4 linked regions of the Tamandua tetradactyla genome follow. The protein of the gene in region 1 purifies or fractionates together with the protein of each later gene. This does not show direct contact. Links are inferred from orthologs where the notes say so. Each region holds a gene or a part of one and is shown in the gene's direction. Other genes may lie near its edges. The genes, in order: YWHAE, KLC2, CDC25C and MARK2.

Region 1 (6,984 bases):
TTACTATGGAAACCTGCCACCAGTAAACCTTTCCTATAAAATAAGCTTACACACTACACTCAGCCCATGTCCCTCCCTTGGGAGCATCCTCATTAACCTCTTTAACGTGTACTCTCTCCTTTAACAAATTTTACTACTGATTCCTACTGGCCCTCTCACCTCTAAATTCTTTTAGTGTGGAGACTAATAATGAACCTGGATCGAACCTGGATTGGGGCTCAGCTGGCACCACTGCCAGCGGGCACCGGTTATAGTAATAGCAAAACTGCAGAGAGCTTAAATGTTCATCAGTAGAAGATTTCTTTCTTAAACATCCATACAAGGGAATACCATAAGGTAATTAAAAAGAATAAAGTAGTTTTATAGGTACTATTCATGAAAAAAGCAATCTGCAGAACAATAATGTAGTATAGTCATTTAAAAATTTCCACCCTTTGATTCCATAAATTAATGCATGATAATAAAGACATTTATGAAAATACAAAAAAGTATAAATTTGAAAATGAATCACTTGTAGTCCCATTACTGAAACAAAACTTATTTAATATTGTTTTATTTTTCTGATCTTTTTAAATAGGTATAATTGTATTTTAACAACACAATACTGAATATGTAATTTTATATCTTGGCTTCTACATACATTGTGAGAATTTTTCATGTGACTGCATAACTTCAAAAATGCATTTTGATGATAAAGATATATAGGGGAAAAAATTAAACTCAGAAAGGTCTAAGATTTTTAAATGAGCCTATATTTATAATAATATTTTAATAAAATAATGCTTTAGGAACACAATAGTGGTAAATGTTAGAAAAGCAATAAAACTGCAAGCTCCTGGGGGCAATGACTAATCACATTTTTTTAATAACGTATTTCCTTCTGTGAGTGTTTTTAGTACGCTGACATGTATCTGTGGATACTCTCATCCAGACAGGTCAAAAGAGCTCTTATTTCTATTAAAGCAAATTCTGTAAAGTTTGGAGACTTCTACTTAAGGGTGTGACCTTAATGACCTGTTGTTTTAGAGGATTTTCAATGGAGTGTAAAGTATCTATTAACACAACAGTGGTAAAAAGGGCAGTATTATATGCTAAACAGCCATGTTTTTTTTTTATGTGTTTATAATTCCAGATGCCATTTCAAAGTCTGTTCACAATTTTTGGTGCCCTGTAAACAATTTCTGTAAACCTTGTTTACTTAGAGAATAGGCAGTACAATCTGAGAATCAATCTAAGTTTAAGATTTCTGCCTTCTCAGCAGTTTCTTAGGAAGGGGCACCTTCGGATAGACTCTGCTAGTCTTTGGAAGCAGTGTTGAGAAGCTCCTAGCAAGGAAAGAAGACGCAGTTGGGAAGAAGCGTACCCACCCCTAATCTCTGCATGTCCGTGACAGCTCTGTATTTGACCTGGCAGCAGAGCCAGCTTTCTAAGGTGGGTGGGATACGTGAACATGTGGAACAAACCTGTGGCTCAACAATATGTGACCACCCCTTTTGGCCACTCACAATTCCATTTTCTTTCCTTTCTCTCAGATTACTATTCTCTCACCCTCCATCTCTTCACTGCTGTTTCTTGAGAGAGCCCTATACTCAACCCTTCCACCCCCTCTCCTTCTTTGAGCTTCTGCCAAATGCAGCCTGGCTTCCAATACCTTTTCCAAGTTGCTCATGAGGGACACTAAAGACCTAACTCTATACCCAGTGGCTTTTCCTCAGTGCTTATCTTATTGGATATCTCTCCATCATTTCACACTACTTACCACCCCCTTTTTTTTTTCTTCTCACTTATATTAACTTATGTTTCTTACTCAAGCTTGAATCATAGAACCATTGATAAGAATTGCCAAACACTTATGGAGTCTCAGGCACTTTTCATGCAATCTCCCACTTAATTCTCATTTGTATGAGGAAAATATCTTTCTCATCTTATAGGTGAGAAAACTGAGATTTAAAGAAGATGAATGATTTGCCCCCATAACAGAGGCAATAAGTAGCTTTTGAATCCAAGATGTCCAGAGCCCATGGCTTTAACTGCTGTGATGTATCGTACAGAGCTGGAAGGGATCTCGAGTCCAGAAAATCCAGTTCCTTTACTGTACAGATGAACTCAAAGCTCAGAGGGTTGAAGTGTCCTGCTGAAGGTCATACATTTATTTAGTCGTAGAATTAGAGCTAGAACCTAGATCTTTTGACTCTTAGTCTTTTACCACTGAAATCTGTTAAGTGATAATAAGTGTGAAGAAGCTTAATTTGGAATGCAATAGGAAGCCTTGCAGTCTCCTTTGCTGGCTCTTCTTTCACCTACCTTTGAAACACAGGTGTTCTCTGAGGTTTTATGCTTGGCGTGCTGCTGCACTTCCAAACACTCTCTAGCTGCTTCCATGGCAGCCTACCTTCTATTTCTAACTCCAGTCTCCCTTTCCAAGTTCATGCAGGGTATTTCTACTTGGATGATCTTTGGGGACATCCCCTCAGAATCAACATGTGTTAAATGAAACTCATCTCCTTTTTCTGCAGTACACCAGTAAGTCTTCCTGTCATTCCATTTTTCGTTGTTTATGGTACTGCCACTCACTATCCCAGTGACTCAGGGTGGGAAGATGGAAAGTTAGTATTGATTTTCACCCTCTCAGAATATTTCTAAATCCTGTCATCTACAAACTCTTGGGGCTTCTACCTCTCTAGTGCCGTTCCTATTTATCCTTTCCTTCCTATTCTCACTGCCACTATCCATTACCTTTTGACTGGACTATTGTAATATTCTGATCATTTAACATACCTTGTAACCATTGTTATTCAACACCTACTAATCTCTATGCCAGTACTATCTTTGCCAGTACTATCTTTCCATGCAAAATCATCAATAGCTCCCTTGTGTCCACAGAATAAGATACAAACATCTTAGCTTGCCATATAAGACTCTTGGTAATTTGGCTACAACCTACTTTTCATTCCACATCGACTGCAGAGCCCACCACATAACTTAGGTTTTATTTACCTGTTTTATTCTTTGCACAGCCATTTATTGAGGAACTGGGAAATCCATTTCCTCAATAAATTACTGGTGTACTGCAGAAAAAGATGAGTTCCATTTAACACATGTTGATTCTGAGGGGATGTCCCCAAAGATCATCCAAGTAGAAATACCCTGCATGAACTTGGAAAGGGAGACTGGAGTTAGAAATAGAAGGTAGGCTGCCATGGAAGCAGCTAGAGAGTGTTTGGAGGTGAAGCAGCACGCCAAGCAAACCTCGGAGAACACCTGTGTTTCAAAGGTAGGTGAAAGAAGTAAAACGGTCCAGATCGTTGCTAACACCAAGCAATTTCCATTGACAGATCTTCCTACTTCCTCAAAATCAAGTTTTCCCTTGGTTCAACTTTTCGGCACCTTGTAACCCAAAGCAGGCTCCCCGAACAACTTTCCTGCTCCTATCCACGTGGACCTAAGCATTAAAAGAAGGCTAAAGGGGAGAAGAAAAAATAGAAAGTGCAAGGAAGAAGACGAGATGTAAAAACTGGAATCCCCCCTTAGCAAGAGCCCAACACTTTACTCCGGGTTTAAAAAGTCTGAAAAGACCCAGGACTGGGTTTAGTCGTGAGAACCTGGGCACGGTAAAGGAAGCCAGTTGATTTCGATAGGGAGGCCTGCCATGACAAAAACAGCCTGTCCCTTTCCCTGCCCTTCAGTCCTAGGCATGGGCCCACAGTAGTAGCCCAAGATCGCTCGCTCAGTCTTTTCAGGCGCGGTTCACACGGGCTGCGCCTCCGGCTGTCCTCTCTCCCTCTTCGCCGTTAGCGCTGCCCCTCAGCTGCGGTTGCAGTCTCTACACTCCAGCTCCAGCGGAGCCAACGGAGGCGGGGCGTCTCGCGGGTTTCAGCCTCTTCGAGAGCCGAGCTCGAGGGCCCGCCCCCCGCGCCAGTTGCCAGGGAGCGGTTGCCATAGAGCTGAGCAGTTGTCCGCGTGCGCAGGCGGAAGTCCCGGATTGAGGCGCCGCCATTTTTGCTGCCCGGACGCGGAGCAAGAGGCTGAGAGAGTCGAGACGCTATCCGCTTCCATCCGTCGTGCACACCCTGCCGAAGCCGCCGCCGCTATGGATGATCGGGAAGATCTGGTGTACCAGGCGAAGCTGGCCGAGCAGGCCGAGCGATACGACGGTGAGTTGGGGGGTGCAGTTGGGGGCTGGGATTCTCGGACCCTCTGCCGCCGCCCACAGAGGCCAGGAGCAGGAGACAAAATGGCGGCATCGTCTCCGGCCCTGACCTGGGGATGTGGATTCGGGAAGGAGGAAATGGCCTCTGGGTTGCCGGAGCTGTGGGAGGCTCCAGGCCCAGGAATTAGACCCCTTCGGTGTCTTCAGTTGCAGCCATTCGCGGGCTAGGAGACTAAGGCGATAGGGTGGAGGAGTTGGTTGTAAAATGGCGGCTGGGGGAGGGCGAGTCCTGGGGCGGGGGAGGGGGGAGGAGATGGCCCCGTGCTGTCTCCAGGCGAGCAATTCCGTGGAAGCTTCTGGGACTGTCTTGTGATATGGAGAACAGTTGGGTGGGGTGATGGGGAAGAGGCACCCGCCACATAGGGGACGGTGGAGACTGGGAGCTGTAGCGCTGGTGTCTTTCAGGGAAACATGGCGGGTGGGGGCGGTGGCTTTTCCCCGGAGGCCCAGTGTGGGGCGGCGGCTGTGGAGACTCACAAAGGAGGACCGTTGCGAGCAGAGGGTTTCTTTGGACTTGGGGTGGGGGACATTCTTGGTGTTGGTGGGAGAGTGGGAATCACTGCAGTTCATCTTTGGGCGGAGGCAAGCTGAGATGCTGCGATCGAATTCCCTTCCCGTAGGGTGGCACACCTTGTAGTGATGGTTTTTTGGGCTTTACGTTCAGCCTCGCCTACTTGTTCTTCTGGGGAGGTCCAGAAAACCTCATCCATTCTCCTTTTCTTCGGACTTATTCAGAGAAGCTTGAAGTTCTTGTAATCTTTGGTTCCAGGAGCAGTGGGTTCTCGTGGATAGAACCTTAAAGAGGAGACAAGGAGATCGTGTTCTAATCTTTCCCGTGTCTCAGTTTACTGGTTGTAAAAATAATGACTTTTCTTTTCACATGCACCTTTATGAAAAACGTAACGACCTTCTGTAGAAGAATAAAATTATTTCAAATAAGGTAGAGTAGCTGCATTTTGGTTAACTCCCCAGGATCGGAGTGGTTCTTAAGCTATTCCAGGTACTTAACTGATGCATCATATGAGAAAAAAAATCTTATATGGTCCCTATGCAGATAGATGTTTTTATGCTTTTGGGGGGGGGGGTCTGGCATGGTCGTCATTAAGTGCGATCCTTAGAATTCTCTTACTTTTTTAAACTACTTATTTTTCAAAATGTCGTAGAGCTCTTGCTTTCCTTGAATACCACTTTGGTCATGCGAATAGCCTCAGGGCTAGCTCTAGTGTTTCACCAGAAATTAGGATTCGGGAATTTGAAATTTTGGTAGGTGGCTAGAACTCAAATTTAGAGAAGGATACTGCACTAAATTTCATCGTCTAAGTCCTTACATTGCTATTTGTATGAGGGAATAAGATGGGAAGTACAGCTCAAGGTCAGATTTGTCTTTATTTCGGTGTTTAAAATTCAAACAATTGTAGGTATGCTTGCAGTGGGAGTTTTTTTTTCCCACTTGGTGTCCCAAATAGGTTCCCCTTTTAATCTGCTGTTGCCGTTGGGGGAGGAAACTTTAAATTATATTTGAATGCTTTCTGTTCTGTAGGGATTTAGACTCTGAGTAAACGTGCTGTGATAACCAAAAAGGATCTTGAGGAATGCTTTCTTATTAAAAAAAAAAACACCAAAAAACAAAACTCGTTTTAAAAGCTGATCTGGGAGCTCATGATTGTATCTCCCAAATAAAGGATAATTTAGTGATAATCATGTTTTGGGATTGAGTGCTGAGGAATTTTGACCCAAGTCTTTATTGATTTTCAATATAGGACTTTTTTTTGCTGGAGCCAGATTTTTACATTGTTTAAATGTTACGTTTTCATTTCAAGGGCTAAAGGGAGAGGAAAATAGGATCTACAAAGGTGGGGGAAACTCCTGTGACTATTTGTGATGAGTTTCAGTGGAAAGGAAGAATACTCACTGGGGATCAGTCTTTACCTGTGTCCACAGATGCATAGGTTTCTTATTGAGCACAATCAATGAATTCAATTTTTTGTTGCCGAAGAAATGATCCATAGTTCTCTACACCAAAAAAAATTTATCAGGTGTAGTGAGTGGAAGAAGATGAAAAATTCATTTGAGTGGTTTGGATTTGGGGTACTTAGGGGTAAATATTGGCTTTCCAACTGCACTAATCGCTTTTTTTTCTCTGTCCTTGCAGTATCCTTGTCTTTTGTGTGCTGTGTTGAACCTAATGTCTAAACTTCTTTGTAGATTCGTTTCCTATTTAATTCTGTCCTAGGGAATTGCAATCAATTTATAGATTTTTTAATGGTATTAGACGAAGAGACAAGCTGTTTTCAGGAAAATAATAATTTGGGGATATATATATGAAATATTGAAGTTTGCTGTTAAGACCGTTCACTTTGAAGATTAAATTTGACATCTTGTCACTTGAGCAAGTCAGATTGTGTATTGGTAGCCATATTAGGCAAGTCCCTTCATCTCTTAGCAATCCTGAACCAAGTCTTACTAGTACTTTTAGAAAATTGGGGAATACAGAGGAAAACAAAGGCTCCTTTTCCCATTTTGGAGGAGTAGAGGAGTAGGCATAAACTACATTTGGGCTTGTGGGGTAGTTCTTTTGTTCTTACCTCAGTTTACTCCTGTGAAGATTGGTTGCAGAGTTTTTGATGATCACTTTTTATTCACTTTCTGTGTGATGAATGCATCAACACCAGGAATATCTCTGTCCTGAATCTTTTACTTGAGAACTGTCCTTGTAAAACACCAGAGCCCCACCTCTATCTTACTCTAGTTAGAGTGGTGGGGACCCTATTGTG
Region 2 (7,898 bases), on another chromosome or scaffold:
TGAAAGATCGCTCATCCCACCAGCTGAAAGCGTTAAAAGGAGAAGTGATGATCTCAGCAGAAGGAGGGAAAATTTCCATCTTTACTTTAGCCAGCCAGCTTCTCCTGGGGGATTCATCACAAACCTTCATTGGAGTACCCAGCTTGCAGCCTGCCCCATGGAATTAGGACTTGCCCATCCGCAGAGTTGCATGAGCCAACGCCTAAAAAAAGATCTCATAATATTTATATTAAATGTGCATATATACATATACATGTATTTGCATATATACATACCTCCCGTTGGTTCTATTTCCTTAGAGAACCCTGACTAACGCAGTTATATTCAGACACCTTTCTATTTCCTGCCTTGTCTGTTGCCTGATTTCATTCTGAGTGCATTTTCTTCCCAGCAACACTCTAAACAGAGACTGCCCTGTATTTCATAATTTTTCTCTCCACCCTCAGCTCACTAGGACAGCGTCTGGCAAATAGTAAGCTTGGTGGTGATAATAACAATAAGGAGCTGCAAGAAACAGCAACGGTTTTGTGCAAAGCATAATGTCAAGATTTTTAACGATGCTATTTTATTCAGTCGTCTCAAGGACCCAGCAAGGAAGGTGGTAGCTACCCCATTTTACAGATGTGGACACAGAGGCAGTTACAGAGCATGCCTGATGTCGCACAGCTGGAGAGTGGAGAAACACTCTTTGAATTTAGCTGTGTCTGATCCCAAAGCCTGTGCGCTTTTCTACTGCTTGGAGCAAGCACCTTTCTAGTCCCTGGACCAGGAGGTCCCAAGAAAGAGAAGATACAGAATCACCATGTGCCTGCCAAAGAAGGAGCCAGAAGCCTTTTGGGGAAGCGCCAAGCAGATTTGCTTTGGGGCTCAGTGAACAAAAGCACTGACAGCCAGAGTGGTCGCACGCAGAACAGACTTCTTAGGAAATGGCAAACTGAACCCTTGTCGGGGAGCCCTCCACTATCAACTGCTTCTGAGTAAAGCTGCTGACATCAAGTTGAATGATATCCTTGGTGAAAGTGCCCCCCAACCATTGCAAAGAAAAGGAGGGAAGCTAGCCAAAGGAAAAAAAAAAAACATAATTTAAGAAAGCATATTTGAGTGGGATGAATGCTTCAGCAGGTCCAAGGGGAAGGGATAGGAGCAGTAGGAGTGATTTTCAGGGAGAAAACCATATTAAAAGTAGCAAAAAAAGAAAAACTTCCCCAGGCATGGGATGGGGGTGGGTGAACGGTGTAAGCCAATGAGCACAGCAGAAAATGGCATAAGGAGCTGAATCACCATTGGGCATGGATTCATTCTTCTATTCTCCATTTATTGAGCCCCCTTCAGCAGCCTGGCATGGAACCAACAGCTACTGGTGGGGGTGGGTAGGCACAGAACATGGCAGGATGAAGTTACAGCCTCTTCCTTCTCTTGGGAGAGGCACAGTCTGATCTTTGGAGACAAGATAAAAAGTCAAGTGGCTGAAACACGATGAGCAGTCTCACCACCCTCCCCCTCTCTGCGTGGGACATGACTCCCAGGGGTGTGGACCTTCCTGGCAACGTGGGACAGAGATCCTAGAATGAGCTGAGACTCAGCATCAAGGGACTGAGAAAAACCCTAGAATGAGCTGAGAATTAACATCAAGGGATTGAGAGAAACTTCTCGACCAAAAGGGGGACGAGTAAAATGAGACAAAATGTCAATGGCTGAGAGATTCCAAACAGAGTTGAGAGGTTATCCTGGAGGTTATTCTTATGCATTAAGTAGATATCACCTTGTTGTTCAAGATGCAGTGGAGAGGCTGGAGGGAACTGCCTGAAAATGTAGAGCTGTGTTCCAGTAGCCATGTTTCTTGAGGATGATTGAACAATGATATAGCTTTCACAATGAGACTCTGTGAATGTGAAAACCTTATGTCTGATGCTCCCTTTAGCTACTATATGTTCAGAAGAGTAGAACATATGGAATAAAAATAAATAATAGGGGGAACAAATGTTAAAATAAATTCAGTTTGAAATAGTGGTAAATGAAAGCGAGGGGTAAGGGGTATGGTATGTATAGTCTTTTTTTTCTCTATTATCATTTTATTTCTTTTTCTGTTGTCTTTTATTTCTTTTTCTAAATCGATGCAAATGTACTAAGAAATGATGAACATGCAAAAAAAAAAAAGTCAAGTGGCTGAAAAGGTTGAACACATGCAAGGTTAAGCATGGAAAGCAAGATAAGAGCATGAGAACGCCAGCTTCCCTCCACGGGATCACAGGGGAGGAGCAGGCCAGATGCCATAAAGGGAATCACAAAGAAACCACAAAAGCCTACAGAGATTTAGCAGAGAAGATGGGGCAAAAACAAAACTAAACAAAAAAGCAGTAAGAATCATAAAGGGGACTGAAAAATGTTCTTTACGTTTACCTGGGAAAAGATGATAAAAGAAATGTGCTCCTTGATTAGACAGAGAGAAGGCATGAACAAAGCAGGGCTTTGGGGGGTGCGTTTGCACTTGGCTGTGTGGTGTGGGCACCTACGTGGGTCTGTAAACTCACACACGCGGAGGTGTGCACATGAGCCCATAAGCGTTCTGGGCCTTTGAGTGAGCCCGCTGGAGGTTGTGTGCAAGGGTGTGTGTGACTACTTTTGTGTGAGTGTGTCAGTTCTCTTGACTTCTACTGCATGTGGTCAGCCTCCCTCGCCCACTGGCACCAAACGGCGTGAACTCTTGGATAGAAAAGGATGTGGCAGTCACCAGGGACCTTAGCTCCTGGGGAAAACAGGATCAAAAGCCTGCTCCTGCTCTCCTACTTTCCCCTCTCTGGGCCTCAGTTTCCTCACCTGCAAAACAAGGACTTTTAAGCAGCGGCTCTCAACCTAGGGCGTACATCACAGGCACCTCTGAAGTTCTAAAATACCAAGAGATGCCCAGGACCCACCCTGGCACTGTCGAATCCAAACCTCCAAAAGGACCCATTTTAACAAAATCTCTTCCCAAAAGATTCCAAAACCTCTTTCAGAGGGACAAAGATACCCCACGTTCTGTTTCCTCTCTATGATCGGGATGGCAAGGTGAGAGATCAGTCCTGGTCTGGGGGTTCTCAGGCACAGAGGGCAGGCTGGTCAAATTGCAGTCTGGGTGCCTCTGGGAGACAGGGCCAACGGAACAGCGAAGGATGGCAGACCTCAAACGCAGGCGACCCCCAACCTTCAGGGGCTCTGGCAGAAAACCAGTCACATCAGATCAACAGGGATAAACTCAAGATCTGCACCGATGTTAACCAAAATCATCAACGGCCACAAGCCACTGGAAACAGCAGTTGCTTTCGAGGAGGAGAGCCGGATGGCTGAGGACATGAGAGAGGGAAGTACATTTCACTGCACCTTTTGTGTGCCTTATGGATTTTGTTTCATATGAATGCATTAGTGTTCCTAAAAAAAAATCACTGAGAAGAAATCAGTGGTGGAAGCCCAGGTTTGGGGAGAAGTACCTGGGACATAAGGACCTAGAGTTGTAGCTTGAGCAGGCGCATTGCTAGGCTGTCAACATTAACGACATCACTTGCCGCTTCACAGGTGGATAGATGGCATGTGGTCAGGGAGGGCCACCCTCTGTGATCTGTGCAGTTCACACCTTGCCTGGGTCACTGGACGCTGAAAGAGGTGTCTGGAGACCAGCAGGCACCGGAAAAGGGACCAGGGTTGTCAGCTCAGGCAGCAGAGGGGGTGGAGCACCATTGGTACTCCAAATATCCTCTCTGGCAAAAGGAAGCCTGAGGACCGAGCTACAGTGGGGTGAGCACTGCAGGAAAGCACTTTTCAGTCTAAGGAAGACGTGTCACACTTAGAGCTGTCCTACAGCAGAGTGTCACAGCGCACACTCCAGCTAACTGAAAGTGCTGGATGAGATTCCCACACCCACCAAGATGCGCAACTCAGTGAATTCTGACTCTGAACCCGCTCTGCCTCAGTTGAGATGTCTCTACCAGTGCCAGGGCTTGCTGTGCAGGTTTTGTCCCTCGGAGTGTTCATCCTGCTGTGCCAACATAGAAGCAGTGGGGTCAGGGCCAGTGTGGCCACCCACCCTGGGCTGTGGGGTGCCAGACCAGACCCCCAGGCCTGGGAAGATCCTGCCAAGGCCATCAGATGCATCCTTCTGCCTCTTGTTAAACCACATTTACTATGTGCCCTGCAGGAGCTGCTCTAAGATTAAACATGACAGACAGGTCCCGACCTGCATTCTAGGAGACAGCAAACCACAAGAAAAGTGTCAGAAGGGATAAGTGCTCTAGAGAGCACTAAATGGGCGCCGGAGGGGGAGGAAAGTCAAGGGAAGCCTCTCTGCAAAGGTGACACAATCCGAGCTCTGAATGACACCTTCACGGACCAAAGATGCTCCTCAGCACAGAGGCCTGAGTCTTGGTCTCCGTTCGCATCCGGCAAGAAGTAGCCGTAAGAAGCCAGTGAATCCCCTCAAGGGACATGGACAGCTCTGAAGGGCGCCGGAGCAGAAGTAGCCTGGGAGTCTGGAGATCTGGGTTCAGAGCTGAAGGTGGGGATAACAGAAGTACCCTCCTAACCTACTCTTTGTGAGCTTAGGTGACAAGGTATTTCAGGCACCCAAAGCGCCCGACACACAGAAAGTGCTCAATAAATGTCAACCGCTATGGTCATTTTTGGTCCCAGCCAGCCAGGCTCTGGACTCGGAGGTGGACTCAGTTTCTCTCGCCGTCCTCTCTGCTCTCGGCTTTGGCTGCGTTGGGGTGCACGGTCTCCCGAGCCTCGGCAAGAGGCCTCCGGGCATTGACTCGACGGGGAACCCGAGGCTGGAGGAGTGTGGGAAACGCGGGCTTGCAACCTGCGCCTCTGACCAGCCCACGCCCCGCCCCCTCCGGCCGGTGGCCACACCCCCACCCGGAGCGTGTCCTGCGGGTCCTGCTCCTTTAAGGCAGAGAGCCCTCCGGGGAGAGCGCGTCTCGCCCCCTCCGACGCCGTGGAGGTAGAGGCTTCACCTTTAAGGCGGCGCGGGGATTGCTGGGAAGGCCGGCGGGATGGAGGCGGCGGGACCCGCTCACGGCTGCGAGTCCCGGTGAAGCGGTCCGAGAGCCGGAGCCGGAGCCGTAGCCGGAGCCGGAGCGGGAGCTGGGCTAGAGCGGGACCCATAGATCCGCGCGGCCGATCAGGCAGGGAGAGGGGTCAGGTCCCAGGGGGGCAGGGGGCTCCGGGTCGGCCCAGGGGAGGGGTCGTCATGGGCGCGGCCTGTGGGAGGACCAGGCCAGCGGGCGGGCGGCGCGGTCCTCGGTGGCCGCGGGCTGGAGCTCGGCCTTTGCAGGGGAGGGGTCCGCAGGGCGTCGCGCCGCTCTTTGGGGAGGAGGTCGTCGTGAGCGCGGCCTGGAGGGTCGAGGGACCCGTGTCTCAGCCCCTCTAAGGGAGGGGTCTCCGCAGGGTCGGCCTGCCTTAGGAGAGGGGCCCAATGCCTCTGCTTGCCTTTTGGGAAGGGGACGAGGGCGGACCGGGTCTCCCGGAGGGGCTGGGGTCTCCTGCCCGGTCGAGCCCCCACGATCCCCATAGGACTGTCCCCCGGCGCGCCCTGCCCTGAGGAAGTCCTCTGGGATGCCCCGAGACAAGGGCCGAAACCAGCCCCGAGTGGGTGGGTGGTCAGGGGCAGAATCCCTGTCCGGCCTCACCGGCGGCACCGCATTGCGTCTCCCCGGCCGACACGGGCCGGGCGCGCCCCCTGTAGGCCTAGCGCGAGCACCGTACGGGCTGCCGGCCGGGGGGCCTGGGCACCCTGGGGACCCAGGCGTCGGGGGACCGCCGGTGTTTACCGAATCCGGGGCGGACTGCGGCGTGGCCCCAGGCCTGGCGCCCGCCAGCCGGCCCCTCACTCTCACAGGCGACGCGGCCATGGCCACGATGGTGCTTCCGCGGGAGGAGAAGCTGAGCCAAGATGAGATCGTACTGGGCACCAAGGCCGTCATCCAGGGACTGGAGACCCTGCGCGGGGAGCACCGCGCCCTGCTCGCCCCCCTGGTGGCGCATGAGGCTGCCGATGCCGAGCCCGGCTCGCAGGAGCGCTGTGTCCTTCTGCGCCGCTCCCTGGAGGCCATCGAGTTGGGACTGGGGGAGGCCCAGGTAGGGGGTCTGGGTGCTGAGGTGGGTGGGCAGGAAAGGTATCGGATCTTCCAGGGAAATCCTGGCAAAGTAGGAGCAGAATCTAGCAGGGGACATCTGTTTCCTGGAGCCCCCTGGTAGGATCTCAGTGCATGAATGTTCTTTGGTGACCCCAGCCCTGCCCTGCCCTGCCCTGCCCCAGACATCCTGGTTACTCTCTAGCTCTGACTCCCCTCTTCCCAGCAGAAACTGGCTAGTAGAAGGAAATCCTTAAGAAAACCAACACCCTCTCACCCCCAACAGAAAAATTTTCATTCTTTTGTTTGTTCATTAACAGATAAGTTATCCAGGGATACAGGGTCCAACAAGACAGACAAGAGCCCTGCCCTAGTTTAGTAGGAAGAGACAGAAACACTTGTATACAGAAAATTGTTACAGATTGTGATAATTTCTTGGAAGAAAAGAACAAGACCTTGTGTTAGCATATAGCAGGAGGTCTTCCTTATTGGTTAGGCAAGGTGGGAATGAAACATCCTCCAAGAAAGGGAGGAGGGAGAAGCTGCATGTGCAAAGGTCCTGAGGCAGGAAAGATCTTGTGGTTGAGGACTTAAAGGAAGACTTTTGTGCCTGGGGCTCAGAGGAGGAAGGGATGGGGACAGAAGAGAGGGAGGCAAGAGCCAGAGCATGCTGCACCTTGTTAGTTTGGGTTTTATTCTCAGGAAATTGGGAAGCCTCTGGAGGGTTTCAAGCAAACAGAAGACCCGGTCTGGCTGAGGTGTGGAAAATGAACCATAGTGGGTCAAGGGCAGAAGCAGGTAGCAGGTGGCCTGGATCCACTGCTGAAATTCAAATGAGGGATGGCAACTTGGACTAAAAGGGTAACCAGGGGGGTGAAGATAAGGGGACAAGTTCTGGATGTTTTGAAGGCAGTTCCAGCAGGACCTGGGAGGGACTAAAGGGGAGAGAGACGGGGAGGGTAATTCCCAAGCTTGTTAAGCTTGGGCAGGTTAAGGCTATGAGAGAGCCTGGAGGAGGAAGGGCCAGGATTCTATTTTGGCCTACTTAAGGTGGGCTGCCACGAGATGCAGATGGAGATGTCCAGGACCACCAAGGTGTGTTCCCTTAGTTGGTTCTCAGGGAAGGAGTCTGGGCTTCCCCACCCCTAGATCTTGGCTAAGCCACTGCCTGGCTCTGTGACTCCTGGGCAGGCCGTATCATTGTGGTTTCCTTGTCTGCTATATATATTTACAGACTATTTAGGGATTTTTTTTTTTTTTTTGAAAGCTAGTGGTTGTGAAAACACCTGTCACTTAGGCATTTGCTACCCAACTAGAAACTGCAGAGTCCCAGCCTGCCTGGCCCTCAGGGAGGGCAACATGTTGGTCAATTAGCTCTTGTGTGCAGAGAAGAGCACACATGGACCTTGGCCCTAGAAGTGCACAGGCACTGGCACAGATGGGAGCAGGATGGCTTTGAGGGCTCTGGGAGTTGGAGCTGCGGGGAGGTTAGCCCTGCTCTCCTAGAGCCAAGGGTGCAAGTGGGACGAGAAGTCACTGCAGTAATGATGCTGGGCCCTGAAGGCTGAGAGGGGTTTCAGCAGATGGAGAAAGAAGGGAAGGTATTTTAGGCAAAGGGCATAACCCAGGCCAAGGCCCCAAGGCAAGAGCCTGGAAGCTCAGAGAAGACATGAGAGAAGTTGGGAAAAGGGATGTAGCCTGAGGCTGAGGGCTCTGGATCGCCTTATCTGCCCCTGTGGCTCCCTAGACCTTCTGAAGATTCAGGACACACACTTCCCTTCCTGGAAGCAG
Region 3 (7,956 bases), on another chromosome or scaffold:
ATGTCAAAGTCTGAAATAGGTTCTACAACTAACTGTGGTGCTGTGCTTTGAAAGTTATAGCTTTTTTGTATATGTGTTATTATTCACAAAAAAAGAAGAAAAGTCAACTGTGGTAATAAAAAAGTATTTAAGTCCTCTAGCCTCCTATATTCTGGAGCAGCTAGAAGGAAAAATATGAGAGGATCGTATGGTAGCCCATGACAAACTCTGGGATCTGTCCAGTAACCACTTGTTGAAGAGTGCCTTGAAAACTGTTGCTTTTTTATTTCTTTGCTTTGTATATATGTTATACTTTACAATAAAAAAAGTTTAAAAAATCAATTCTGTAAATGTATTAAACTTGTACAAAGAACTAATAATAGAGTGGTATATGGGGGGAAAAGTACCTGTTACAAACCATGGACTGTAGTTAACAGTAATATCTTAATATTCTTTCATTAGCAGTAACTAACATACTACACCAAAACCAGGGGACAACAATAAGGGGTGATAAGGGGCATGGGGTATTCTGGGTTTTCTTTTTATTGTCTACTCTTTTTCTTTTTGGAGAAATGAAAATGTTCTAAAATTGATTGTGATGATAATTGCCCAACTAGGTGATGATACTGTGAGACATTTTATACTTTGAATGGATTATATGGTGTGTGAATTTATCTCAATAAAATTTGTAGTTAAAAAAAAAAATTAATTCTGCCCCCAGTACATCCAGAGGATGACCCTGTAGATGTGACACGAATCTGAGCTTCAAGGTACATTAAGCCATAAAACAAAACTAAAAACCCTGAAACCTTAAAGCCCTTGCTCTTCACCACTAGGCTATCCTCCTTTTTATTGTCATCCATCCTTCAAAATGTTAAATGATTGAGTAAAAGAAGTTAAGTTAGCATTGGCTCACTTGAAAAACACTTAAAAAAGAATTGACAAACTTAAAAAAAAAAAGTCAAGTTTCATACAAAGAAAACTTACATCAGCTTTCATCAAGTGAAAACAATACCTGCCCTTCCCCAGTGCCACCCAAAGGCCCACCCCCACCCTAACTATAATTAAATCTCCTTATACCATTCCTAGTTCTCAAGTGTTTTACTCATGTTCTGCTATTTTTTCTGTTGCCTCCTTTTCTTTCTTTTGTTCTTGTGCTACTACCTTGAACCCCATCTTAATTGTGACTTCATGGGCCAGTCCCTATCTTTGACTGTGCTCCAGTGGATTTCAGCAGAAGATACTACCTTCTGGTCTCCATCCAGATCCTATGAGGGTTCCAGGGCCTGGAGCTTGTCATCCAGTAGGTCATCCAAAGGGGTAGAATCCACTGGCTGTAAGAGTTTCTCCATTCCCTGCCTAGGAAGGCAGCACAGTCAGAGGAATATGCATCTCATACAGTCATTCCCTTTTCAGCCAGTGAAAGCTAAACCTCTGTTGGGTGGGGAGACGTAGGACTCAGCCCACCACTCACAGAAGGAACCAGAAATAGCAAACACACCCCTCATCCCCACTGCCCTGCAGAGTCTGGCTGGGGGGGTCCCAGGAATGCAGGGCTTTTCTCCACTGTCTGATCTGGGCATCCCAGGAGCGACGGCTGTACTTCTTGTTCTTGTTTGGAGTTTGAGGGTGAATCCCTGGCTGTCGCTGTGCCCTAGTAATGAGAAATGTGGGTCAGACTGAGGTCAAGGTGAAAGGGAGCCCCATATAATAGGGGGCACAACTCACTGCTTATCATAGTGAATGAGGAAATTTGTTAGTGATTCCTGAGAATGGTGTAAGATCCATGTTCTTGTGGAAGGCTGAGTTATGTGCCCCAGAAAAAAACATGTTCTTAATCATCAGCACTCCTGTGGGTGTGAGCCCATTATAAATAAGACTTCTTGAAGATGTTAGTTAAGGTTGGGTGCAACTGAATGAAGGTAGATCTTAATCTGGATTACTAGAGGCCTTATAAAGAGGACTTGGAGGTCAGAGAAGCCAGAAAGGAGAAGCTTTTGTAATGTGACTAGAGGCAGATAGACAAGCCAAGGAAATCCAAGGATTGCTGACAGGCAGCACAAGATGCTACAGACCCTCAGGAGAAAGCAAGCCTTGCTAACATCATGATTTTAGACTTCTTCTAGCCTCAAAACTGTAAACCAATAAATTTCTATTGTTTAAGCCATCCCATTGTGTGGTATTTGTTATAGCAGCATGGCAAACTAAGAGGGTCCTCAATCCAACAAGAAAAGTAAATCTTCCAATCACATTAAACACCAAACTTCTGACCTTCGGGAAAGGGTAAGTTAGATAGTCCCAGCTTCCTTGGAAGCCAAAATAGACATAAAAGACAGTGTTTATCTTCCCTTTAAAATGAATTCTACCTTTTCATACATTTAGTTTGTATATATACATGTAAATTTGCATGTAATTAAGCAAGTATGTTGCAATTATCCAACTCAGCTGGAAGCATGAGGGGATAGTAAAAGTGGTTGGAAGGAAAACTACCTCATTAGGAAACACAGGTAAAGCTTTAAAGTCTTATGGGCCAAGTATTACTTGTTCCATTAAAAAAAAAAATCTTAGAAACTTATCTTTAGGGCTAGATTGCAGGAGACTTGGTTTTAACAATGCTGTAACTTTGTGAGAGCACTCAGATTTTAGTATCTTTCCATCACCTGACATTGAAATACAACAACTTGGTTGACACCATTGTTGTCACCATCCCACAGGTGCACTCACTTGGGGACCTTTTGCAGAAAGCACTGATAGCCAGGTGTGCACTTGCCATAATCTATTTGTTTTTGCCGCCGCTGCAGGACAACTTCATCAGTCTCTACTTGCCACCTGCAGGAAGTCCATGTGAATTGTGATTAGAGGCATCAAAGTTGAAACTAACTCATCCCACACTCCCTTAAATCCCAGCCTGAGTCTCAAACTCACCTGGTATGACAGAGCTCTGTACTGACTCCCACGCTCACCATCTCTAGCCTAGAGGATAGAGACTCCTCACAAACTTCCTTTCTGGGGGAGCAGATTCTACAGATGAAGTGAGTATTAGGATAAAAGCCAGCTGCTACAATGCACCTCTCAACCACCACCATCACAACCACAAGATTCAGACACCAGATAAAGGTTGTATTTTTGACGGGTTTCAGAAGTGTGGGTTGGCAAACCACCTACATTGGCACCACCTAGGGACCTTAATAGTTCCTGAACCCTCTCTAAACCTATTGAATCAACAATTGGGGGCCTGCATTTTAAACATTTTTTTATTATTACGGAAAATTTCAAATACGTACCGAAGTAAAATAACATAATGCCTTGGTACATAAAGTGTGGTTCCAGGGCCAGCCACTGCGGCATCACCTGGAGGTTTACAAGAAGTGTAGAATCTTGTGCCCTCACCCAGACTTACTGAATCAGAGTCTGCATTTTAACAGTATCCCCAGGTGGGTAGTAACCGCATTAAACTTTGAGAAGCACTGACATCACACACCCCCATGCTTCTATTATCCAACACTCAAAGCCAGTCTTGTTTCATTTACATCCACCGCTGCTCCCGCCCCCGATTATTTAAAATAAAATCTCCAACATTAAGAATAATTTCTTAATATCACCTAGTCAGTGTTAAATATCCATAAACAACTAAAGTTGGAGATCCTTTCGATTGATAAGGATTATGCCAAGAAATGATCCAACTCCTCTATTTTCCGTGAAAAGGAATTTCCTTTTACCACAACCTAGCATCTCAGAGATGCCGCGCACTAAAAAGGGACACCGAACAAGGAAAGCGCTTGGAAGGGGTCAGTGCCGCGTTGCCTAAACACACACACCTGTCTCGCCCCAACACCTGCCACGCTGGCAATAAATGCTCCATCTCCAGAGATCGGCTAGCAAAACCAGGAAGTTAGAAGAGAAAGGTCCACATAACGGTACGAAAAAAGGAGCAAGGAAAAAATAACCGTTTCCAACACTCTCATCTAAATTAAACTCTCCAAATAATATCTTAGCGAGTGGTGGCCGCCTGTGGGGAACAATTTAAATCTCCCGGGTTGGTGGGGATGTAGTAAGGGAGAGCACAGGAAGGGTGTGGCGATTGGTCAGAGGAAGAGCCAATGGTGCATTAGGCTTCCTGGGGGGGCGGAGCTTACCAGAGGCTGGTGGGCCAATCGCTATCCTGCTCTGACTCCCGGGCGGGGCAAATCTTGCTCCTGGCAAGGCAACCTCGTACCCCCTGTACTGGCCAAATGATTGGCTGAAGGGAACTAGGCGGGTGCGCAGGGATTGGCTGACGCAGGTAGAGGCGAGCGGTGATAGGTTATTGGGACGGCGGAAGATTTGAATGGTCAAGGCCCGTTGCTTTTGGTATTCTTCTACCCAAACCGCGTAATTTCGACCCTCTGAGGAGACAACCCGCGAAACCAAACTCTGGCCTATTCAGTCGACAAGCAGAAGTGTACCCTGGTTAATTGTCACCGTTTCCAGGATTGGTTCTTCCTTTAATTCTGCTCGTCTTCGCTCGTGTCCGATCTTTCCCAGCTTCCCTTTCTCCTGAAGGCAAGGAGACCCCAAATTTGAGGTAAGCCTGGAGTTCTGAGTGTCTGTCACGGAATGACGGAGATCGCATTTTCTCCTCAGTGGTCAGGCCGGGTCCCGCAAACGGAAGTCCAGAGGACCGAATGGGCATTGTCGTGAGTTAAGAGTCCCGATTTCCGGTCAGGACTCGTGAGCTGTTTGCCCCGAACAAATAAAAACCCTCTCTTCATTCCAACTTTGAAGTCCTGAGATTGCCTCTCGGCTACTTCAGGTTCCACCGAAAAGGCCAAGCCTCTTTGGGCAAGTCAGATTTAACCTTCATAATAGGATGCGATTCACTGTTTGGGGATGCCGCTCCGATCCTGAAATGTTTTATCATGCTGGAAAGGGTGGGGGAGGTAACCTTGAAGGCTGGATGACCTAAGATGGTGTTCTCTTTCCACCCAGGCTTTATTTTTCCTTTGGTGAGAATTCGGACACCATGTCTGCAGATCTTTCCTCATCCACAAGAGAAGAGGGAAGCCCAGGCTCAAGGCCCACATTTAGGTGCAGTCAGAGGAAGAGGTTAAACTCGCTCCTGGAGAGAGACACTTCCTTTACGATCTGCCCAGATCTCCGTAGAACTCCAGTGGATAAAATCCTTTGTGATTCTGCAAACCTAAGCATTTTGTCTGGGTAAATGCACTTTTATCATCGCACTCTATCGCCTTTACCTTTCTAAACAGCTTTAAAAAAAAAATTGTCCTAGCTCAAAGACCTGAATTTAAAACTCAACTCTGCCCTTAACTAATTGTGAGACTCTTTTGAGTCTCAGGATGATTTTCTGTGATACGGAAGTAATAATCTCTCCCCTCATCCTGTTTTACTAGGATCATGTGAAGATCATATAACATGATGTTTAAGGAAAGTCTTCGCAAATTCTATAGCGTTGTGACTTGGTTAATTTTTACTACTAGTAGTAATGGTATTGTTCTTTTACTTTAAATCATGAACATGCATGTCCTGTTGTCTCAGCTAGCAAACAAAGTTGGAGAGTTATAGAAATGAGATGTACTAGAAACTCCAATGAGAAATCCAATCTGTGTGCTTACGGCGCACGGGGCAGTGGATGTGGGGTTAAAACCTATAGTTCAATAAATTTTAGTCCTCAGTTAAAAAAAAAATTATCCTGGTGAGGAGAAAATAAGATATAAGTTATTGGAGTAGAAAGAAAGTGAGATTTTTTCTCAGCCTAGTTGTTCTATTATCAGCCTGGAATACTTCCAAAAATATTTAGATTTATTTGGACATCAGTCAGATTTTGAGATTGTCATCAAAGGGTGTTTCAAATGAAGAAAGCAACATGATCTTTGTCTTTAAGGTTTCATGACCTAATGGGAATCTTGATGTTCTATTATGTCTCAACAGAGGAACTCCAAAATGTTGTCTTGATCTTTCGAATCTTAGCAGTGGGGAGATGTCTGGCACTCAACTTACCACTTCTGCAGACCTTGATGAAACTGGTAGGGAGGAGAGAGGTATAGCCATCAATGGGAAAAATAACTTAGGGATAGGACAGAGTTGTAGGGCAGAGAGGGAAGGTGGTGAGAATAAGTAAGAGAGGCTTGAAGTTTGAATTTTGTATGTAAGTAGAGGATTTTTGAGGAGAATGATTAAGCCAATGGGAAGAAAAAGTTAGCATTAAAAGGAGTCACTTTGCATTTGAGAAAGTTAGATAGGAAGGAATATTTTGTTAGCTGATTGATGGTAGGAATCAAAGTGTAATAAAATATGAGAAGTTTTGTGCCTTAGTCTAATTTCAGCAGAGGCAAAGAAACCAACATAAGGAAATACTTTGTCAACTAAGACTGTTTTTTTATAGGGTCTAAGTCTGAAATGGATGTGTTTCATAAGACAAAAGTCTAGTACTTGTTCTAATTTCAGATTTCCTGAGTGATAAGCTTTCTTTTTGGCTCATGAAAAAATCTCCATGGGTTAATATAGTATAGTATAGTTAGTGTAATATAGTATAGTTCTGGTTCCCAGAACCAGAATTTTTTCTTTAGGTGATGCATGTAAATTCTTGTATTTCTTGAATTTCTGTTTGTCAGGAGACTCAGTTTTTGGAAATACTATGGCTTACTGATGATGAAAATCAGAAGGAAAGACAGGGTGCATGAACAAGGATAACTGATTCTTCATGTCTGATTTCAGGACACTTGTATTCTTCAGGACCTCAGGAAATACAGTTAGCTGTGGTGTAAGTTTTTCTTTCTAAATGAACCGCACGCTACAACATTTTTAGCACTGATCATGGGGATTTTATCCTGTGTAGACTCTGCAAAGTACAGAATATTTCACTTTGGAGATAAGTGGGCTTTGAGATCCAAGTCATTCCCTCGAAAGGCTAAGTTTCCCGGATCTGAATAGTGTTGTGAAAATGTGCCTGATAGTTAAAATGAATTCAATCAGTGTTATCTTCAAAAATGAAGGAAAATGACATACTGTACTTGCATGTAGGCATAATGTTTATTATTACTGTTATAGATTCTTAACAATCTTAAAATTTTCAGACAAGGAATACTCAACAAATGCAACAAATTTTGATTCAGCTCTTCTTAAACTTATAAAAAGTTTTGCACTTGGCTGTTTTAATCCTTTTGGAGCTTTATCTTTCAGTGTTTAGGTGAAAGATGACTGTTTTTATCAATATGTGTGAAAATTTCACTTTGTATAGCTTGCATTTTCTTTGAATTGCTTAAAATGTCCTAACCCATGATGAAATCCTGAGAGAGAGGATGGAAATTCATAATTATTTTTCTTTATCTCTTAGAACAGCTTTAGGTTTACCGAAAAATCCTTCAGAAAGTACAGTATTCCCTATATGGCCCTGAACACACAGTTTGCCCTATTATTAACATTTTACATTAGTGTAGTACATATGTTACAACTGATGAACTGATATTATTAAATTATTAATTACAGTCCATAGTTTATCTTAGGGTTCACTCTTTCAGTTGTATAGTTTTTTCTAAGATTTTTTTAAATTGTGGTAACACTTAACACAATATAAAATTTCCCATTTTAACCACTTTCAAAGTGTTCAGTGATGTTAATTACATTCACAATGTTGTACTACCATCTGTTACCAAAACTTTTCCATCACCCCAAACAGAATTTAATCTCATTCAATTAAACATTATCTCTCCATTCTCCAACTCTACCTTAGTGTTAGAAATACATATTTACACCAACAGTCAACACTGAAAAATTAGTAACTAAAAATGATTATGTCTACATGAGATGAGAAAAAAACCACATTCATCTTTGTTACATATCCATAAATAGGATAATGCAAGTGAAGTGAGGGGATGTCACTTGCCATCTTGATATTTAGCTCTGAGAATATCCTATATATTATTATGGTAAGATACACATCAACCAGATGCAGGGCCCCTGGAACGGAAGAAAGGAAAA
Region 4 (7,207 bases), on another chromosome or scaffold:
CAGAGAGGATTTGCTCAGGTATTAAAAAACCCAAACATTAACCTTCCATACAGAGAACACTGGAGAAATTGAGCAGTGCCCCAAGGTCACTTGATCCTAAGTGGTATTTGGCACAGTTTGCTGGTTTGGCGTTTGCTGAGAGATTTCTACTTTATATTTGAGCAAAAAACTTCTTGGCGGGGGACCTCTATGCTGTGTTCCCAGTGCTTGCCCTGTGCACAAGATTTGCCTCCGTCCCTCCCCTGACAAGTTGTCTTAATCCTCTCACCTATAAACAAGTGCAGCAGAACATGCTGGTCCACTCCCATGACCTTGGCTGTCTGGTCATGGGATGGCAGGCATCAATGGTAGATACCGCAGTCACTTGACATGGTAGAGCTGTCAGGACAAAGAGGTGCAGATACCAGGAGGAAGCCGGGGCCTGCCCGTGAGGGTAGACGGGAGTGTGTCTGGTTCCTTTGCGAGGACCATCTAGGGGAGGTCAGCCTCTCCTGGGGAGTGTGGGGCAGAGTTAGGACTTTCAGCTCTGAGAAGAAGATGGATAATCACTTTTCATTCTTTCTTGCACTGCCTTTATTACCGTGAATTCCTAATTTTTGTATCTCATTTATCTTTCTCTTATATCTGAAATCCTGTCTGCAGGACATGCAGCTGTTACAGGAAACTGCCCTGAGACAGACACTAGTTCATGGGATACTAAACCCAGTACCAAAAATCCCATCTTCTCAAATAGTGAGCCTGTTATATTGTGTGAAGGACAGCTGGTGATGGGAGCCTGGCTCCACACAAGGCTGCCAAGTCTCCAAGCCAGAGAGACTCAGGAGCGTGAACTACAGCTAAATTTTCACCCCCACTGCCCCACTCCTCCCACCACACACACAGGTTTTCCTCATCATAGCAGAAGAGGCAGAGCTTAGCTTTAGAGAGTACATAACATAAGAATTAGGGTCTCCCACCAGACTGTGTGTGTGTGTTTCTTAATCACTAGTCACATTTCCCATCGTGACTATTGGTTTGCAAAGACTCCATGGTCCTATATCTAGAAGGTCTTGGCAAAATTGCTGACATTTGGATCTCAAGAGCTGTGGTATATCCTCTGGATTTTCCTACGTTGGGATGTAGATGTTTAAAGTGCTTTTTATCAGGGGAGACTATAGTGGCAGGGGCGTTTTATGGAAAAGAGAGAACGATTGAGCTGGCTCTACCCAAGTTCAAGTCTGAGCCTTGAGAGTAGACGACCAGAACTTGGCTTTCAACTGCAGAGCTTTCCTAGATCAGTTTGAAAAGTTCCGTCTCATCTGGAGATGCAGAGCATTTATGGTGAGCACAAGTTCCACCACAAGTTGTTATATGGAATTATAACAATAGTGAGTTCCATTTGCATTTAGAATATACCAGGCACTATTCTATGTGTTTGGATGGTGTTGGATATTTGGCATGTCTGATCTTACACCTTTTGTTTCAAGGCTTGGTAGAGACCACTTCGTGCCTGGAAAGTTCTTTGTCCTTGGTAGTCAACATAGACAGGATAGGATGGATATCAGTGACCTTGTACAGCCCAGCTAAATTCTTTCACTAGAGGTGTCCTAGGTGGGTTTCTTCTCAGTCTTCAGGACTTTATTTAAGCTTCTATGCCTGTTGGTAGTTACAGCTGCCCTTTAGAATTTGTTGGAGGGAGGGAGGGTCCTGTATTCCTTTTGTATTCTGCCCTTTCTGTGCATTTGGAGCTGGAGAGCTATGGATTTGGTTGCTTGCCTCCTTCAAAATAACGATTATTCTCTTGTCTGCAGTCTTTGTAATAGTACATCCAACAGTGCTCAACCCCGCCCCCCTTTCTCCCCAATACCACCTGTTAACTGGTGGTTCTAGTTCCTCAGGGCTTCCACCAGCACATGAGCTAATCTGTATCAAAGAGCCCACCCCCAGACCCCTGTCACAGTGGTTAGAAAGCACAGAGCCTCCAACACTCAGCTGTGAAACGTGAACCCAGGTCTTTGCTGCCTTAGCCATAGCTAAGCTGGCTGTTCTCTGGGCCTTTTCATTCTCTTAGAAATCGTGCAAACAGGCTCTCTTCTAGGACTCTGAAAAGATGAATTAATTATGAAATATACTTTTTAAGAAGGTACTTGTAATGGTAAATGGCTATCATCTGGTTTACTGTACTCTGCTCCTAGGCCAAATACACAAGTAGCTAGGGCACCCTGGAGTGGAACTGTCATTGCTGCCAGCAAGTGAACCACGGTGTTTGGCTTTGGGAGCACCCTAGGCCTAAAGTCACAAGCTGACATATATTTGGTCTCGCTGAGAGGCTTGCACTCTTTAGTATTTTCCGCCACTTTTGACAGAAGAAACCTTTTCCATTTATCTGGCAAGCTAGTCAGGGCACCTGCCCAGGTCATGGCCACTTAGAATCCAGCAGTCTCTGCCCTCAGCCCAGGGTTGCAGCAGCAGGGGTGGCAAGCCCAGCGAGGTAGAATGAGGCCCATTCCTTGCTTTAGTTGCCTCATAGCCTTGTAGGAGAGACAGAGTGTTTGACCTGATGTGCCAGTGTACTGTCTTAGGATCCCGTTTCTCTTCTCTAGCTGCAAGCTTTCCTACCTGGTCTTCTTAACCCATCCATCCCTTCTCCTGTAAGGCAGTACCTTTCAGCATTCCTTTCCTCCAGCCTTATTCCTGGTCTCTGTCTGGGTCAGTATCTCCTTATCCAACCTTATGCTCCAATCACCTCCAAATGCCCGATTCTTTACCACCGTGGTTTTTAAGTCCCTATCATCTCCACCACCACCACCCCCAGCTCTTGTTTCAAGCCCAGTTTCTGCTGCCCATGATGTATAGAGAGCAAAGATAGTTCCTGGATCCCACGTTGGAACTCTGAAGTCCTTTTCCTGTTCTGAACTATGCTTTAGAGCTGAAGTACAGTTAATATTTTACTTTTGATCCAATGGTGGGCCCTCATGGGCTGGTTTTGAGAACACAACCACCGTTTGTGGCATGTCTTTATGGAAAAATAGTTCCTACTTAACACAGGAAGGAACTGTTGGTAAGTTGGGGATTTCTTGACTAATATGCTGCAGCAGATTTGCTTGTGCCCTTGTGGAAGTGTTCTCATTACTTTGCAGACATAGCACCATCTATCACAGAAATAAGTTGTCCTTTTGGATGCTGAATGAGCATTAAATAAAATAAAATAAAATAAAAAAAACACTTCCCTGACACCCCACCCCACTCCCCACACCCCCAGCTGAAGTTTGCCACAAAGCTATGCTGATTCTCTCTGATTGCTCTGCGGGGCAGTTGTGTGATTCTCAATATCAGCTCACTGACCCGTACTTAGGTAGCACCAGAAATGGGGCACTCCACCCCCACCCCCAGCCCACCCCTACGGCTCAGATGTCTGTTCACCTGCTTGGGTTCTTAATGATCTGCTGTATGAGAAAGATAACATCTCAGCCTATGAACAGGAACGGCCCAGCAGGGGGTTTTGCTTTTAGAAACAGCAGCCAGTTGGATTTTTAATGGTCACTTAACTGGAGCAGCTGCATCACAGCATGGCCCTGTGGGGAATAGTTCTGAGGCCAGGGTGGCAGTGACAGCCTTAGGTGATTTTTGTTACTTCTTCTGCTTGAGCTTTGACCTCTAGCCATGGTTACTTCTAAGGCAAGCAGACTTTGCCCCAGTGTTTTTTTCTGACATTTCCTCTTCCTTCAACTCCCCTTTTGAAACTGGAGGAGTAAGAAAGCAGTATGTTTTCCATTTCCAGATAAAGATGAAATGGAAAGAGAAGCAGTGTCTTGTTCAGCACCTTCCAGTGGTAGGGCTGGAACCAGATGGGACCCAGAAGGCCTGTTTCCCGCCCAGCACTGGATCTATTCTGCAGCATAAAGACATTTTAAAGAAATCACATTGCAAAAGGGCAGAGACAAAGAAATAAATCTACATCCAGGTAGAAAGGCTGTTGCATAAATAGCAAGGTAGTTTTTTGTTTGTTTGTTTTATTTGTTTAAAAAAAAAATGATCTCATGCTTCTTTTTTACTTTGTGTTGGCAAAAAACCCAGGAGAAGATGGGAGATTCTGGGAGGAGATGATTATGCTGGGTGAGTCAACTGAGCTCCCCAGCTGCCGTTTTTAGTTCCTTTGCTTTTCTGTAACAGGAGGCTGTTTGGGGAGTGGTGGGGGGTAGGGTGGGGAATGCTGGTTTATGCATCAAGACAGGAGGCAGGTGTGTATGTGTATGGGTGATTTTCTTTTGGTAGGTGGCACCCTGGGGTTGACAGGGCCTTATGATCAGTGTATTGGTTCAAACAGAAGATACCAAAACAGAGCCTATAGTTAGGCTCTGCTGCAAGTCACTGTCACTTCCCCAAATCAATAGTGTTAAAGTTGCATTGCATTGTTGTAGTAAGATACAATGTTTTTTTAGCATATCAGTGGAAAAATTGAACGTAAAGAGGCAGAGAGAAGAATTGTCTTAAGTGGGAGTGGCTGGTAGTTGTCACAGGCAACAGGAAGTTCAGAGGAGAGGTTTCCCCCTCTGAGATGAAAGGAGGGCTTGGGCTTAATGGAGGGTGGCCAGGGAGTCTGCCCTGCTGGTCCTTGGCTAAGCTTTGTGTTCTGAGTTCCTCTGCACTTCACCTTGGTGACCCCTTTACCTGATGCTTTGTGTCAGGAGAGAGCACCTGAGCCTTTTCCCACCTGAGAAAGCTCGCTAGTGGAATTAGATTTCCATCGGTGTCATCCAGGGAATCTTGTGGCCTACTGCTCTGCTGGTTGTCTGCAGAGTGCTATGATTTGGGGGATCACAGAGATTTTCATGAAGATGCCCCACCACATTTTCCTATTTATTCACTCTTACATATATGTTCTCTCAGTACATTTTGAATACGTCTGCTGTGCTAGACATTGTTCTGGGCCATGAATAAGATGGGCCTGTGTCCCTCTTTTGCAGTGTAGGCTGGTGGGAAGGAGAGATGGTATCCAACCAATTTCAAGGGTGATGAATGTCTGGAAAGGGGAAGCAGGTCTCATGGCAAGAGGTTTTGGTCTTGCTTCCTCAGACCTTCTTCTCCTTAGAAAATGAAGGCCACTCTGTCCTGGGGGGCTTTAGGGTTCACAGAGTTGTACCTCTTTTATTCCATATGTAAGTAACATGTGCACTGGTAGGCATTGGGGGCACACAAAGCAAGCAGGCTACCATCTCTGGCCTCTCAGGGCTTGAGAGAGGAAAGACATGGAGACACAGAGTAAAAAAGATAAGCCAGTGTAGATAAAGTGCTTTGAGAGTCCAGAAAAGGGAGCAGTTACTCCCAGTTAAGAAGTGTCTAGATAGTTCTTTGAACACAAGGATTTAGGTAAAACAAGGGATAGAAGATTTACTTACCTGAATTACTTAAAGAAAGCATGTGGTTGATGGAACTCTTCATCCACAATTCCATTCCATTCCCTCCAAGGCAGCCAGAGAGGTAGAGCTGGGACTTGACCCCAGGATGACACCCTTCACTACCATACCATATGCAGCTTCCCGGAAGTGTGCTGGAGGGAGCCAGCAGTGTAAGCTGGGTGTAGAAGCCCAGAGTCCTGAGAATGTGCTAAAACATAAGCTGTTAGGCAAAAAAAAAAAAGGGGGTTAGAGGGAAGCCCAGGCACCTCAACTCCACTTCCCACAATCTTCTGTAAAGGGAGCCAAACCTTTGTGCTGCAGGCTGACTTCTCCCTACCCCCTCCACCCCCATTCCCCAGGGCCTTGGGCTGCTGGCAGGCTGGCTCTCCTGTGATATGGAGGAACTTGCTGGTCTCCATGGTTACAGTAACCCACTGGTACAAGAGGAGCCGAATGGAGTGCAACGCTAGCAGTGTGAGCTTCCCCCAGTCCTTGGCACCACGTGGTACTGGTATATCGGCTGTTTCTTTGACCTTTCCTGGGAGGAAAGAGTTAAGGAGCTGGTCAGAAAGGGAAGGGTCCAGTCAGGGCCTGGAAGGACCACCTTCATCCTCCTCTGGGTAGCTGCAGAAGACAGAGGCATGGCTCCCTTTCCATTCACCCACTCTTCCCAGCAAGAATGCTTTTATGTTAGGAAAGAGGGTCATCTTTGCCTGACAGCCCAGCCAGAGCATAAGGGTGCCTTTCCCTTATTTTAGAAGGCGTATCAGGATGGCAAGAACCTAGGTACTTGTAGTCAAATGCTTAGAGGTTATAGCTCTTTCAGGGCCCAGAGAACCCCTTGAGATGGGAAACATTAACAAGTCCTTGCTGTGTATGCCAAGCACTGACATAGATTCTCTCATTTAGTCCTCACATAAATCCTGTGAAATGGGTACAGTTACTAGCTTTTAATGTCCTTGTGTTCCAAAAAGGAAACAGACTAGAGAAGTAATCTTGCTTGTGAAATAGCTAGCAAAGATGGGGCTTAAAGCCAGGTCCACCTGACTCCAGAGCTCTGCTCTCTAGTCTCCCTTAACAAAGTGAGCTAGAGCTGCTATAATAAGTCTCTCTATACAGCTTCCCTCTAAGTTTCTAGAATGCAGAAATCAGTCTCACTGAACTTTACATCTGGCCCTGGCTCCAGAAATAGGTGCTCAAAAAAGGTTTGATGAAATGGCGGCAGTAGTTGGGATTTGAGACAGAGCTCAGAGCCCAGTGAGCAGATCCTCAGAGATGAAGTGGTGGTGGAGGCTGCTGGAGCCATGGTTGCCCTGGTCACAGAGGAGCCAGGCATTTCAAGTGGCTCTAAAAAGGAAGGTTTTTGTGTGGTACGCATTGCTCTGTGGCTTCCATGCTTGAAGAGGAGTGAGCTGGAGTAGGCGGTTTGTTCTGATCTCACTCCAGGTCAGTTCTTGCCTACTCATCTTCCCCCAGGGAGATTCTGGCTTCTGCTGCGGTTGCTTTGAGGCTTGCAGGCTCCCCTCATGACCTGGGCTTCAGGGCTGGACTCCCTGCTTTGGGATGAGGGTTGCAGCTCAGAGAACATGCCAGTGGGGGCCAGTTGACAGCAGAAGGGAAGCCAAGCACCTTACTTTTGACTCTGTGGTTAAGTAGCAGGCTCTACTGGTCTCCTTTATCAAGGATCCACCTTCTCTGGCTGGAAAAGGGAGCATCCCTTTGGCGGCTTTGTACAGCCCCAGCCTTCCCTGCAACAAGAGCATAAAGGAATGTGAACATCCCCAGGAGGGGCCATTACAGTTCATTTTTGGGGTGGGGGTACATCTGGC

The links.
Region 2: the proteins of YWHAE (region 1) and KLC2 purify together in Homo sapiens (affinity purification with mass spectrometry; 3 studies listed by BioGRID and IntAct, with this or other methods). This does not show direct contact. The link is inferred for Tamandua tetradactyla from reciprocal best matches to the Homo sapiens genes YWHAE and KLC2.
Region 3: the proteins of YWHAE (region 1) and CDC25C purify together in Homo sapiens (affinity purification with western blotting; 9 studies listed by BioGRID and IntAct, with this or other methods). This does not show direct contact. The link is inferred for Tamandua tetradactyla from reciprocal best matches to the Homo sapiens genes YWHAE and CDC25C.
Region 4: the proteins of YWHAE (region 1) and MARK2 purify together in Homo sapiens (affinity purification with mass spectrometry; 8 studies listed by BioGRID and IntAct, with this or other methods). This does not show direct contact. The link is inferred for Tamandua tetradactyla from reciprocal best matches to the Homo sapiens genes YWHAE and MARK2.

What each region holds. Positions count from the first base shown.
Region 1 is NC_135332.1:55,181,725-55,188,708, reverse strand, and holds the start of YWHAE (14-3-3 protein epsilon), read left to right. Parts: upstream 1-3,967; 5' UTR 3,968-4,090; coding exon 4,091-4,154; intron 4,155-6,984. UniProt on the Homo sapiens protein: Adapter protein implicated in the regulation of a large spectrum of both general and specialized signaling pathways. Binds to a large number of partners, usually by recognition of a phosphoserine or phosphothreonine motif.
Region 2 is NC_135335.1:8,173,710-8,181,607, reverse strand, and holds the start of KLC2 (kinesin light chain 2), read left to right. Parts: upstream 1-4,884; 5' UTR 4,885-4,975; intron 4,976-4,998; exon of another isoform or gene 4,999-5,159; intron 5,160-5,836; 5' UTR 5,837-5,883; coding exon 5,884-6,111; intron 6,112-7,898. UniProt on the Homo sapiens protein: Kinesin is a microtubule-associated force-producing protein that plays a role in organelle transport. The light chain functions in coupling of cargo to the heavy chain or in the modulation of its ATPase activity.
Region 3 is NC_135346.1:17,999,266-18,007,221, reverse strand, and holds the start of CDC25C (M-phase inducer phosphatase 3), read left to right. Parts: upstream 1-4,947; 5' UTR 4,948-4,981; coding exon 4,982-5,175; intron 5,176-5,907; coding exon 5,908-6,017; intron 6,018-6,693; coding exon 6,694-6,739; intron 6,740-7,956. Other genes in the region: oocyte-specific histone RNA stem-loop-binding protein 2-like, read right to left, coding at 1,248-1,338, 1,481-1,633, 2,704-2,808, 2,905-3,000, 3,798-3,841. UniProt on the Homo sapiens protein: Functions as a dosage-dependent inducer in mitotic control. Tyrosine protein phosphatase required for progression of the cell cycle. When phosphorylated, highly effective in activating G2 cells into prophase.
Region 4 is NC_135335.1:10,713,333-10,720,539, reverse strand, and holds the start of MARK2 (serine/threonine-protein kinase MARK2), read left to right. Parts: upstream 1-4,199; 5' UTR 4,200-5,795; coding exon 5,796-5,852; intron 5,853-5,871; exon of another isoform or gene 5,872-7,207. UniProt on the Homo sapiens protein: Serine/threonine-protein kinase. Involved in cell polarity and microtubule dynamics regulation. Phosphorylates CRTC2/TORC2, DCX, HDAC7, KIF13B, MAP2, MAP4 and RAB11FIP2. Phosphorylates the microtubule-associated protein MAPT/TAU.